Linked DNA regions of Mytilus edulis. The protein of the gene in region 2 interacts with the protein of the main gene of each other region in a pairwise test. Links are inferred from orthologs where the notes say so. Each region holds a gene or a part of one and is shown on either strand. Other genes may lie near its edges.

Evidence for each region.
Region 1: the proteins of ubiquitin conjugation factor E4 B-like (region 2) and E3 ubiquitin-protein ligase CHIP-like interact in a two-hybrid assay, tested with the Caenorhabditis elegans proteins (2 studies listed by BioGRID). The link is inferred for Mytilus edulis from reciprocal best matches to the Caenorhabditis elegans genes ufd-2 and chn-1.

Annotation. Positions count from the first base shown.
Region 1 is NC_092352.1:15,888,184-15,895,916, reverse strand, and holds the start of E3 ubiquitin-protein ligase CHIP-like, read left to right. Parts: upstream 1-4,716; 5' UTR 4,717-4,809; coding exon 4,810-4,902; intron 4,903-7,371; coding exon 7,372-7,570; intron 7,571-7,733.
Region 2 is NC_092356.1:69,801,664-69,808,950, forward strand, and holds the start of ubiquitin conjugation factor E4 B-like, read left to right. Parts: upstream 1-4,281; 5' UTR 4,282-4,417; coding exon 4,418-4,441; intron 4,442-6,624; coding exon 6,625-6,796; intron 6,797-7,287. UniProt on the Caenorhabditis elegans protein: Acts as an E4 ubiquitin ligase mediating the assembly of polyubiquitin chains on substrates ubiquitinated by another E3 ubiquitin ligase. The elongation of preexisting ubiquitin chains preferentially targets ubiquitin 'Lys-29' and 'Lys-48' residues.

The DNA.
Region 1 (7,733 bases), on a different chromosome or scaffold from region 2:
TAAAAGAGTATCATCCAAAAGAACTCTAAACTATCGCATGTCTTATAAAAACATTGACTGGTAGATAGCAAAATATTGCAAGAACTAATAGAACTTTGAAGTTTGTAGCTCGGAAGATTTTGGAGACGAATGTCATCATATTTTTACATGTTCTGTATCTAATGATGATTGATTGATTGTTGGTGTTTAATGCCACCATTGGTACTATTGGCTATGTCGTAGGTTTTTTTCTTAGCATCTAGAAAGCCGGAGTGCCTGGAGAGAATCCCTGACATGCGGCAGGACAACCTACAACCCTGGTCAATTTAGAAACGAATGTACTTGCCAAGTTCGTCAAGGTTCATACTTATATAACCTCAGTGTTGACAAGACACATTAGATGAACTATCTAATGAGGACAATAAATAGCTATAGAAAAGTAAATATAGAAACTAATCATATTCCTAAAGGTTTATTGAATTGAATGATGAATAGCAAAAATGTATTTGATCTCAACAACATGAAAATTTAGAAGAATTATTAATCAGCACTTAGGCCCTTTGCCGTTATAAAAGAGAGGCGAAAGATACCAGACATTCAAACTCATAAGTCGAAAATAAATTGACAATACCTTGGCTAAAAAAAGGGAACAGACACACATAGAAAACTAAAATCTTAAATGGTAATCTATATTGCTTATTTTACTTTTGCATGTCTGTAATATATGCAATATGTGATATATATTTAGTGTATCTCTTTATCACTGTAATTTGGTTTGGTTGGGGTTTTTTTTTAGAGAAAAAAAGATTTATAAAGATACACAAAAGATGTACTTATTATATATTAACCATAGAAGTATTAACTGAGATTGATAATTTAAAAAAAATGCTTGGAGTTGCATGGATGATGGATGTCAATATATTTTTCATTTTTAAAAGATGTCACAATCTGACAAACGTGGGTTTTATGGTATGTAATAACATTTTATTATTTGGTTTAAAAAAAAACGCGACCTTTTCACTGTGTTTAATCGTTGGTTTATATGTTATTTGTATTTTTTTAATTATGATTCAATACAATATCTATTTTTGTCTTCTTCAAGTTTGAGTAATAATGAAGTATTGTGTTTTTCACTTGACAAGTTATTTATGTTTGCTACACCCAAGTTACAAATAACGAGACATATGGACCGTTATTAATATGTATCTTGACTAACATAAATCAACAAACAATTATTCAAATTGCGTTGGGGTCTAATGTTTGCTTTCAAATGCAACCACTGCTTTAACTTGAGATACAAAACAAACAAGATTAATATAAACAAATAAATGCGTAATGGATATATAACTTCATTTATCATAAACATATATTGTTTACTCTTAAGAAGTTATAATAAATGAGCATATACATATGCTTGTGACAAATGCAAAGCAACAACAAAACTAAATTGAGATCAATGCATAACTATATACAAGAAAAAAAAATCTTCAAGAGTACACTCGAGTACTCATATTAGTAACACGACAGGTGCTACATGTGGATCAAGATATGCTTATCTTTACGTAGTAATTGCAATCACTGCCGTTTTTTATGGGGTTCGTATTGCTAGGTCTCAAGTTTTCTGTATTGTGTTGTGTTGTGTATACTTTTGTTTGTCTTTTTGTCTTTTTTTGTTGTTGTTTTTTGCCATGGCGTTGTCGTTCTATTTTCGACTCATGAAAATAAATGGCTTTTGGTATCTTTCGCATCATCCCACTAAACTCAGCCTTATAAAGAATTTTCTAAAAGGGAACTTAGCAGGACCTCTAGTTTTCAGAATCGAAAAGATTGTGAAAAAGAGGGATGAAAGATACCAGACGGACAGTCAAACTCATAAATCGAAAATAAACTGACAACGCCATGGCTAAAAATGAAAAAGACAAACAGACAAACAATTGTACACATGACACAACATAGAAATATAGGAATATCTATAATTATCTCAATCACAAGGTTTGTAACGAAATTTTGTTACTTTGACAGTAAGGAAGAAATCATTTTTCATCCTCTTATGTTTTACATGATAGTCACGTTCCTATATTTCGAGGTAAATTGATATATTTGGAATCTTCAAATTGGCGTCCAATTTTACGTGAAAGAATAAGATTTCAAATCGATAGCTGATTATTTGGCCCTATAATCATAGTTTTTCCAGTCTCAAGTAGCTGTCCAGGTCTTAGTTTAAAAAATTATTTGAACCAAATAAAATTTGAAAAATGATTAAAAAAAATAAGAATAAAATGGATTAATTTTCATAAATTTATCAACAAAGTATACAGATTGTTATTTCAATTTCAATTAATATTTTTTATCTGATCCCTTTTCATGCGGACCACAACTCTAAATGTTGTAGATAGATTGTCTGGGAATTTCATATTTTGTGTCTGGGAATTTCTAATATTTTCTTAGAATTTCAGCTATTTTTGTCTAACACAACTATTTTCTTGTACCATGCAAAGAATATCGCCAATAGTCACATCTCAATGTTTTCGTTATTTGAGCGAGTTGACTCAATATTGTTGAAAGCATGTTTAGGTCATTTTTTTTTGTTTGTTAAACAAACTGGTAAAATTATGTCTGTTATTGAAAGTTTAAATCGAAGGAGAAAGTGAACCAATTTAAATGTATTTGTATCCGAAATAATGCATAACTTAACATTCGGTAGACATTTGGTCCTTCTTTTTTTAAGTTTGTAGAAATAAAAATAGTTTTCAAAGTTGCAGTGCCGAGTTATCTGTAGTTAAACGTTTATTGGGTGGTTGAATGTTCAGAAATACGAAATAGTGTTCTACCATTCTTAAAAATATAAAAATCATTATAGGGAAAACAAATAATGATTAGTATACTGGGATTAAAAGATATTGGACATCGATTAGAGGAGATTCTGATCGATAGGACATCGATTTGGCAATACATGATACATGAAGTGACATTGGACGTCGATTAGAGGGTTTGAGAAATGTGACGTCAGATTGGATGCTGATGAAAGTAGTGGTAATCGGTGTACTTAGTTAACATCTGTTATTACGATGTACATTATAATGATATGTCGATAGTCAATAAGTGTCTGCATTTTTTGCATAAAGATTGATCACATTTAATAATTAAAAGGAAAATGACAATCAAATACATATTGATGAATAATATTACATCATACGGATCAAATTTTTAAAACTTTTTTTTATGCCAAAAATGATATTTATACTTCACATATATCAGATTTAATGTTGCTCATGCAGTGCATATGTAATTTTACAAAGATCCTTTTCTGAAAATTTATCAACGAATTTTACAAATTCCCGATAAACAACTTTAACTTTAAAATCTAACTTTTTAGGAGAATGGTCATGGATAGAAATGTTTACATATGATTTTATAAGTTAAAACTATTTTGTTCGTTTGTTGATACGTTTTTTTTTCATCGGTAAAATGAAAAGCCTAGACTATACACTATATGTTTAGTCATTTTCCCAGTCTTCACAATAAATTCAGACTATATACTTGTTTCGTAGTGGACATATTCACATGTTTATTTTTTTCCCACAATCCCTATATTGCAATAGTAACAAAAATGATTTTTTTTTATCAAAGATTATCAAAGCACATCGGCTAAGCTGTACACTGATATTTTTCATAATTCTAAAACCAGATACTGAAGGAGATTTGACCCGTTTCGTGGTGGACATAAGAAAAAATACAGCATCACAGTATAGTATAATAGTCCCAGTTTCAGTGTTTTAATTGTCAAACAGATCATCTCAAATTTACGATTTTTCATTCATATGGTTAGAGAGTGGATCATACTCTTATGCCAGTGTTAATATTGAATTTCTGTGTTCTTGAATATAAAATGTTATTCCAAGTTTAACCAAGATTAGTCTTACGTTTCATGGCCGTTATTGAAATACTTGACAATACTATTTGTATATATACAAGTCTAAATTGAAAACTACGTTCAAACCTATGATTTCGTTGGATACAAACCGCAATTTTTATACGTGTGCATGTAAAACAAATTTCGTTGTAGAAGGGTCTAAATGCAGCACAAACAACATTTTCCAAAAGACCAAAAAAGTGAAAAAGTATATTTAAACAAATCGCACTTGACTAACAGGTCGAACAACTGATGTTCTATAACCCTGCATGTTCTATATATATATATATATATATATATATGTTATAGAACATATATATTCCGAAGGCATGCTGGATATTTTACGGAGGCCGACGGACCAACCTATGTATACCTAGCCTATATTCATCGTGATGCATGAAATATTTGCCACTGGACGTTAAGCAACAAACAATCAATGTATCAACCTTAATATTCTAAATTGGTTTATATTAAAAGTGCTTTATAATTCTTTCTTCTTTTTTTTTTTTTTATAAGAAACACTTTTGATCATACTTCACATGCAAGATCATCATGAAAATGCACAGCATGAGTACAAAATGGCAAACTAGGTCTCTCACATATAGATGCCAAATATGTAATGCATGTTGTTATTATTGTTCTTGTGTTATGTATATGTTTTTATATTTGGTGTAGAGCTCTCTAGAGCTTGAAGTTGTGTTGTATGGTTTAAATGCCGAATAGAATGTCTGAAAAATTTCGGAAATTTACATGGTTTATCCGTCGTTGTAATTAATATTTTGTTAGTCATAGAAACGTTTGAAAACAGGACAATTTTCGTTGTAATTACAAGTAGATGTCTGACCTTGAATTTAAGGAAAAAATCTTGATTTCATGCTAAATTCCCCTTACTTCTTTACTTTCTCTGAGCGTTAAGTATGAGTGCTGCTGCAGATCTTAAAAATCAAGGAAACAAATATTTTGCAAACAGAAGTTTTGATTCGGCGATTAATTGTTATTCAAAAGCTATTGTAAGTGAATGAAATAATGACTGAATAATGATCTTATGTACATGTAGACTGCAACATGGTACACCAGTTATGTTGAAAAATTATATATACTGGTAAACAATATAGAATATTTTTGGATGTGTTCTTTTCCTATAAAACAAAAATTCTGAAAGTGTTTCAGCAACAATTTGTAAATACTTGGTATCACTATCATGTCATTCTGCTACAATCTTGTCCCCAACAGGTCAGGAATAACCACCCATAGGTGGATTATACCCCTCTTGACATATAATCCACCAATTGACATATATGGGTATAGACCAATTGACGTAATATGAGGCAGGCATTACCTGTAAATGGGGACGAAGTCTGTATGAATTATTTTTTTGTAACTAAATATTTGTTAAAAAAAAAGAAACGGCAATACAGTAACGTTTCCGATTTTGGTTCTGTTGTTAGGGATTTTAGTTGTGACGTTATTTAAGTTATGACGTCATATGCAATGTAAACAAAGAAATGCTATCATCAGGTAGCTGCGGAACCGTAGCTCTTAGGTCCTTATGTTATTTTTTGACTATTTGCGGATCTGCGGAACCGTAGCTCTTAGGTCCTTATGTTATTTTTTGACTATTTGCGTTTTTTTTTCATATCAAGGAATTATCAAAAATGAAATTGGAATTGTGTTCCTTCCTATTTTATACTATACTGATAAATATATATTTTACTCAAAGTTTCATACAAACGAGACCGGAAAAAGGAAGTACATTGTAGATTTCTGCGCAAATCCAGAAATTCAAAAACCTGACAAAAAAAAAATTGAACGATTTTGAGTTCATTAGTACAATGAAAATATCGGGAAAATTTTCCCGATTTTTTTTTTTTTTTTTTTTTTTGAATTTTCTACTGTTATTGGGGACTTCGTCCCCATATAATGCAGGTTTTTTGTAATAAAATGCTAGTGTGAGTTAGGAGCATGATTTTGCAACTTGCAACCTATTTTATGACCCTTATTAATATTGAGTCCTCCAAAGATTCAGTTTTGTCAAAGCCTGCTGCATCTCTTGAGAATGCATGTGTACAACAATCCTTTTGTTGAAACATTCGTACTATTGACTTTTGATAATGAAAGTCAAGTATTAACAAAGAGCTCCATTCACCTGTGGAGTTGTACTCATGATCACTTGACTGCACACAGTATTGATGTCCATTGACAGGTGATTAGTGGTTAATTTGCCAATCAAGAATTGACAAGATAACAATAGAAGAAACTGCAAATACAATTATTGATTAAATGCAATATGTTATGTGACTATACTAAACTAGGAATGTGTGACAAGTTTTCATACCATAATATGGTTTTAAGAAAACAATGCTCCATTTTGGTGGTATAATTTGCTTTGAAAAACAAAGATTTAGTTCACCAATTGGTCTATATCATTATATGTCAATTCGTCAATTGAGGTATAATCCACCAATTGGTGGTTATTCCTGACCTGCCCAAGTTAATCAACCCTGATGGTAAAAAAATAATAACTATCAAGATAGGTTTTTACATTTATGATTCATGGAAAGTGGAACTGCACATGAAAAATGTGTGTATTTTTTTAAAATCATATATATTTAATAAATGATGAGAGGAATATGTTTTAGGAAAAAATCAACATTGATAATGAATGACATCCATCAAACAACATTTCTTGATTTGAGTAGTATTATATTAAACTTTAGACAAAAACAAAAATTTGTGTGCATCCCCTTGGGAATCTTCTTGTGCAGTTGTGTATGGAACTACATGTATTATAATTACACAGTTGAAAGACTTATTAAGATCAGTCATTTGAAAACTTGCTATTTTTTTAACCGATATACATGGTACAATTTATTTTTTAATATGAAAAAAGTTATACATGCACAAAAGTGAATATTCATTTTACATGTTATAACTTCTAATAAAATCATTATTAACACAAATGCTTTTTACTCCATAATCATCTTCACTCATTTAACATGTTTAAGGTGATAAATATTTAAAAAAATATTTGACTAAATGTCTTGTTATTACAATGTATTCAAGAAATTAGGAAACAACTTGGGCCATATCGACTTCCGGCTGGATCACATGAAAGGCTTCAAAGCTCTGAAAAGGTCTATTGATTAACCCTATAATAGGTATACACAAATGTCACAGACAGGTCACATACTCTTTAAATAAATGAGACTGAATAAAGTTGTGTGGGTTATTCCTTTTGAGCAAAAGCATCTATAAGTAATTACATGGAAGTCTGAAGAAAACTTTTGTATAAAGATAATAATTATTCAGGCCAGTTATTGGAAAATAAATATTGAGTAATAAATCACAAAGGAAGACAGAATGACATTACAGCTATACACCAATTGTGATCATAAATGTTTCATCCTAAAAAAAAAAATTAATTGCTTTGTGACTTTGTAAGAAAATTAACCTTAGTGACAGTCATATCTTTTTTTCAGTTGAAAAGTCCTAATACATCAACTTACTTCACAAATAGAGCATTATGTTATTTAAAAATGAAAAAGTGGGATTTAGCTCAACAAGATTGCCGTCGTGCCTTAGATTTAGACAGATCTTTAGTGAAGGGACATTTTTTCATGGGACAAGCCTTGGTTGAGCTTGGTTTGTACGATGAAGCTATTGCAAGTTTGATGAGAGGTAAATATTAAATAAGTTTACAAATGTATATGAATCAATACAAATTGAAAACTTTTTCAGTCAATTCAGAAATTACGTACATTTGTATATTATTTAAAACAGTACTGTTAAAAATATGACAACTCAAGAATTACATTTATTATGATTTCAATTTTAAAATACA
Region 2 (7,287 bases):
TGTGTGTCATGTGTGTTGCATTGTCGTTTTTGGGGTTTTTTTTTTGCAAAATCATTGTTTCTGTTGTTTTGTTATTTTCCTCTTATAGTATAGTTGATGTGATTCCCTCGGCTTTAGTTTGTAACCCGGATTTGTGTTGTCTCAATCGATTTATGACTTTCGGACAGTGGTATTTTACTGTTGCCTTTCTTTGTGAAACCTTCAAATACTTTGTTTCATTTTCTATAATCAGGATGCAAGGGTGCATTCATATCGTCACATAGGATGATCTGGTAAATTTCTTTATATTTATCCATAATTTTTGAAATTTGATATAGTGTATCTTTGAAACTATTGTCTCCACTAATTTGGGCAGATGGCATATATAAATCAATTACTAGTAGATATATTAAATTTGGGTTACTGTCTGTTGTTAGTACTTGAATGAGATCATTCCCATCCGGCATTATATTAACTGCATTGGTCAAGTCTTTCTGCCAAAAAAATGCTGTTCCACCGGTACCATAGCCACGTATTGATGTATAGACTGATATCGGGTAATCAGTAACAAAAAGATGGTAGCCAATGAAATGATTATAAAATGACAGTGTATATAAAGTGACTACTGAACAGACCTCTGTCAACAACAATGTTTTGTATGTATATATTACAGGCATTTTCTAAATTTAGGCATTTTGTAAAATGCCTGAAAACTTTTAAGGCATTTTCTAAAATACCTGCAAGATTCAGTAATTAAACACAATGTCTAAATTATCTAGGCATTTTTCAAAATGCCTGGAAAAAATTAAACGGCATTCTACAAAATGCCTGAATCTATTTTAACATGAATATCATTAATGTGGTCATTTTATAAATTTCCTGTTTACAAAACTATAAATTTACCGAAAAACTAAGGATTTTCTTATTCCTGGCATAGATTACCTTAGCCGTATTTGGCACAACTTTTTGGACTTTTGGATCCTCAATGCTCTTCAACTTTTTACTTGTTTGGCTATATAAATATTTTGATATGAGCGTCACTGATGAGTCTTATGTAGACGAAACGCGCATCTGGCGTACTAAATTATAATCCTGGTACCTTTGATAACTATTTACACCACTGGGTCGATGCCACTGCTGGTGGACGTTTCGTCCCCGAGGGTATCACCAGCCCAGTAGTCAACACTTCGGTGTTGACATGGACATCATTAATGTGGTCATTTTATAAATTTCCTGTTTACAAAACTATGAATTTACCGAAAAACTAAGGATTTTCTTATCCCAGGCATAGATTACCTTAGCCGTATTTGGCACAACTTTTTGTACCTTTGGATCCTCAATGCTCTTCAACTTTTTATTTGTTTGGCTTTATAAATATTTTGATATGAGCGTCACTGATGAGTCTTATGTAGACGAAACGCGCGTCTGGCGTACTAAATTATAATCCTGGTACCTTTGATAACTAATTATAGAATGAAAAGTTAAAAAAAAACTCATTTGAAAGCTTTCAACAGTTTTTATATGGTATTACTGAATAGAAAAGGGTAAAGTTTAAATAATCAAGAATATATTTTACATAATTATTCCAAATTTATGACAAAATAATAGAAATGTTATACATATTTTCTGACATAGTGATGATAGATTGAAAAAGGCAACATCAGTTCATGTTTTGCAAGCTTCTAAAGTCGAATACTCAACTGAAAAAATCAGGGACATTCATTTTACTAAAAATAATACGTTTTGTGTGAGGGTGGAGTAAAGCTAAGAATGGAAATCAGGAATGTGTCAAAGAGACAACAACCCGACCAAAGAGCAGAAAACAGCCTAATGTCACAATGGGTCTTCAATACAGCGAGAAATCCCGCACCCGGAGGTGTGTATCAGTCCTTCTGCGATTTTGACATAATAATAACAAATTCACTACTGGTATTTGAATACAGAGTGAGTATGTATTTAACATAATTTCACTAAAAAGAACATAGCAAATGACATATTAACCTTCCAAGCTGGGTTTTGGAGAATAAATCAAATTTACCGAACCAATAGTTATTTTCTTTGCAAGAATCTGTGTTTTGTCCACTTTTGTCATATATGCATCTCAATGATATCCTTCTCCTATAAATTACCTGAAACTGAACAGGCAATTAGTGGAATTTTTAGTTACAAGTTTTATTTATTAATACACTTTTAGTTGCAACCATATTAAATATGGTTCAAAAAAATCAACACAAAAATCGATTTGTTTTTGCCCCAGATGACTTTTAAAATGGTGCAAAAATGCCATTTTTTGCATTGAAATTGAAATAGCTTTTATTAACTCATCGGTGACCTATAAAAAAAATTCAAACAAGCTGTACTTAAACTAAACCGTGATTTTAACAAATTAAGCAATTACTGTAAAAAAAGTTCTTTTTTTATTTCGATATTATACCTTTATTGCTCCAATAAGTTCAACAGAAAAAAGTACTTTAAAAAATGAATGCCTTTCGTAGGCAGATCGTGAGCTTGAATAGACGATGACCCCATTGTTTTCATTTTATTTTGCTATTACGTATATATTTTAAAGTTTATTTACAGATAAAATAGCGATATCCTTTATCTTAAAAAAAAAAGAGTTATGATACCCTCGAGCCCCTTAACCTATACTAGATAAATTATCCTTTAGATTTAAATCTTATCCCTGCTTAACTTTTTACTGAAAACAGTATTATCCTAGATTCGGTATGTATAAATATATAGTGTTATAAGATAAGATAAGATAAGAAAACTTTATTTTGATTCGGCATGAGTACAAATAAGCAACACAAGCTCTAAGGAGCTTTTGACCGAATATAAAAACATATAAATAACATAAAAACAGTGTATTTTGACATATATAAAACAACCTGTAATACAAAATTGAAATCTCACATACAAAGCATGCAATAAAAATAAGCAACACATTTTCGAATGAAGTAAAAACATGCTTGACCAGAGCAACCAAAATCAGCATAAATAATAAACAGTTCAAGAATTATCTGCAAGCAGAACACTGTCATTCCAAACCGTTCCAGGACTGAACAAGACTTTTAAAATGTGAAAACCTGTTTTCAGTCCTGAAATGGTTTGGAAGAATGTTCCATAAAGTAGCAGCAGCAAATTTGAACGATTTTTTACCGTAACGGGTTGACTAGCTTTACCTGTGGAATTTCAAGAATATTTACATACCTGAAAGAATATTTAGACTTTTTGACATTCACCAAATTTTGTAAACACACAGGAGCTATGTTGTTTATAATTTTAAAAGTTTCTAGAGCCATTGTTCTTATCCGTCTGATCTGCTAGGAAGGCACCTTAGCTTTAAGTAAGAGGTCCTCGTAGGAGCTGGTAAAATCCTCATACACAAAACGGAGTGCTCTTTCCTGCACCTTTTCTAGTTTTTTGAAATTTTTCTCAGTGCAAAAATGCCATGCCAAAAGGCAAAAATTAAAATTACTAAGAATAAAAGTATGAAATATAGTAAGTTTACTAAGTCTATCCAAAACAAAGCCTAAACGTTTTAAAACATTTAATTGCTGTGATGCCTTCCTACAGATTGAGCTGATATGAACATCAAAATTTAGCTGGTAGTCTATTTCAATGCCTAATAATTTTACTGTTTTTTCACATGTGAGGTTCGAATTTTGAATATACACAGATGGGTTCTTTTCAAAGGTCTTTTTGCCAACAGCCAAAACTTGAAATTCGTCAGGATTTGCTTGCATTTTATTTACCATGAACCACTCAATAAGTATTTTTGAATCCGATTCCAAAGTTGATCGAAATCTGGAGTACAAAAAGACAAGGTATTTGTCTCAAATACTCAAATGTTATTTTAGTCAATTTACTTGAAATATATTAATATAAATAAGTATTAAGATTTGTGACACATTTTAATACACGTACACAACTGTTTGTGGTGTTCCATAACAAAAAATAAGAAAAAAACTTTTATTGCGCGCTTACAAAAGGGTCTGGAGGGGGTCTGTTATTCTGTAAACATTTAATTTCAAGTCACCCCTTTTTTCTCTAATCTTTAAAAAATTAACCCCTTTATTCTCTAATCTTCAAAATATTAACCCTTTTTTCTAATCTTCATTTTATGGCCTCATTATTCTCTAATCTTCATTTTTTAAAGGGTATTATTCTTTAATCATTTAACCCGATCCAAACCCTTTTATAATATTCATCCGAGATCGGAGTATTTGAGTCGAATGTGTTTTGGGGTTCGTTATTGGTCTCTTCGGGTTTTTTTTGCTTTGTCTAAAGCTGCGAATAACAGTGAACACTTCCGGGTTAAAATGTGACGTCACATATTGGAAAAGAAGAAAACACAAAGACACTTTTACCTTGATTTAAAAATAATAAGGAACTTTATGGTAGAAAAAATCGAATCAAATATCTAAGTAGAGAAGAAATGAGTGAACTCACTCCAGACGAGGTAGATTATTGAAGCTAAACCAAAAAAAATCAACAATAAATTGATTTGTCATGATTCCTTATTTTCAATGTTTTGACCGAAATTATTAGTGAATGTATAAAATTATGGCTAATACTCTTTAAAACCCTTTGACTGTTTGTGTTACATCACATAATTATCCATTTAAGTATATTATCTGTATCTGCATTATGGAAATTTCTGTTGCAGATTAACCACATAGAAGTAGATGTAAAAGACATTGATAATGTCATAATTCATTATGTCTTGAAGATCTAATTCATTGTCCTGTGACAACTTTATTGTTGATAAATAAATGTTATCCCATAAGTGTTGCATATATAAAAAAGGATAACTCATCGCAATAGACCAAGTGACACAGAAATTAGAAATTATAGATCTCTGTATGGCCTTCAACAAAACACTAATACACTATATGCCCGCCATTACTGGACATTACATAGGTTCCAGCCAAATTTTGACATCAGAATACAAAATATCTAAAGCCACAATAAAAAGGATTTATGTGTGACATCAATAGCTAAAGTGGCACGGATTCTCGGGTCAGCCGGGATTAGTGATAGGTGTCTAATTAATGTCTAAACAAATGAACGAAACAAAATATGTAACACAGCAACAAATGACATCCACCAAATCACAGCCTCCCCACTTGGGACGGTATCAGGTCCGTTCGTGCCCAATATACTTTCGCATCCTACACGTTCGCACCCAAGGTCCATTCGCACTCTACACGTTCGCGCCCAATTTTAATTTAAATTCCAGTTGAATAATTGGAAAATCATTATTGTTAATTTTAATTACTTTGATGTAAATACTGAATGTATTTATAGCTTGGTATGAGTAAAAGATTAAATATTTTAAATGAAAAACACAAAAGATAATTGTTTTTAACAGCTTGGTCCCTTTGATCTGAAACAATGAAATAATAAAATATAGCAATACACTATTATATAAACCAAAACATGATAAAATTTATTTCATTTTGAAACAAGCCAATGAAACAAAGTTTTATAGGCAATACACTAAACAAAACATGATTAAGTGTTATTCAACAAAAAATAAAACATTGACAGAATCCCACTTTAATTAGAAAGGAATATTATTTTTTTTAACAATACACTTTCAAAAACATGATTAAGATTTATTCAACACTTAAAAAATGCTGTCTCGCTTTATTTTGAGACAATGAAATCAATTATACTTTTAGGAATACTACTTGCCAAAACTTGATTACAAATTTATTAAACACAAAACCAATAAAAATTGGGCGCGAACAGACTTTGGTTGCGAACATGTGGGGTGCGAAAGTGAAAGGGGGCGAACATGAGTGGGTGCGAACGTGAATGGGCGGGAACGGTCCCAGATTCACTTGGGACAGTCACATTCAAACAGAATGTTGTGGGTTTAAACATGTAAGTGTGATCTCAACCCTCAACTAGGACAGTCATGACCGTGGTGTAACGGTACAACATAAAAATGAACTACATTCTGTATAAAAATCAGTTGAAAAATGCTTAACTCATCAGATGGATCCATACAAATAGATCTAACACATACATGTAGTAAGCCAAGCACATGATCAATTACATCAATTTTTTTTTGTTTTGTTTCTTTTGACTTTTAACCTTTAACCTGTTAACTGAAACCATTGTATGAAACCAGAGTCAATTTCAGATTAAAATAAATGTTTTGGGATTCTTATTAACAGCTAAATGATAGTTGTATCCATGATGATATATAGGACCCAGCTAATTAAACATGGGTATTACCCACTGATGCACAGGTTTCTGGGATGGAAAATCATTTGTCCATGATGTGGAATATAGAAATATTTACATTTACTACAATGTACATATACTGACAAAATGTCAGATACATTTAGTCCAAATGACTTCAAATGTCAGAACTAAATAGTGTTCAAGTAGGTGCTGTATACTGACTACTGTTTGTGTCAAATTGTGGGTATGATTGTCAATGAGAACTATCTTTTGAAAAGGGCTTACCTCATCAAATTGACACAAAGCAAAAAAAACACAACATGCTCAAAAAGACTAAAGACACAAGTCATCGATCGAACACGGTTGTCAGTAGTAATGCAGATAGAGATCACATTATAAACAAAATAATATCTGGTTTGAGATTTAATTTTCCACTAATTATAACAGATAAGGAGAAGACGTCTGGCCAGGTTAGCAGGAAACCAGACTACCCCTCCAGATGGAGACAGGTCATCGGGAACCCAGTCTACACCTTCTAGTCAGTCTTCAGAAAGACAATCAAGTCAGTCAACACCAAGTCAATCATCATTAGACACTTCACAGAGACGAACTCTTCCAAGTAAGTCATTAGTAAATTGTAGATCCTAAATAAGTCATCAGTAGATACTAAACTAATACGAACTCTTCCAAGTAAATCATCAGTAGATACTTCACAAAGTAGACATGTTTATGCCCCTTTCGTAGTGGAGTTAAGATTTACCCTTGTCTGTAGGTCCCAAAGTTGGTTTCTGTTGTCTAACTTTAGTTTGCCTCAACCAAATGTTAAGAAACGTATACACGTATATATATACACACAATGCTTATTACCACAAAACACAGATTAAGATTGAATTTTGGTGGCATCACTATAACTTTTCTAGAGTTATGCCCCTTTACAAATGGGAAAATTGCTGAATGCCTAAAAGTAGCATACATGTATCTGCAACAAGAAAGATGAGTTTGGGAGGAAAAAACAAAGAGGTTATTCATCATGTTCATTTTTGTCAATGTATAAGAAAAGACCTGTTTTAAAAAAGATTGCATTACAAAAGTGTTTTTTCCTAACATTGT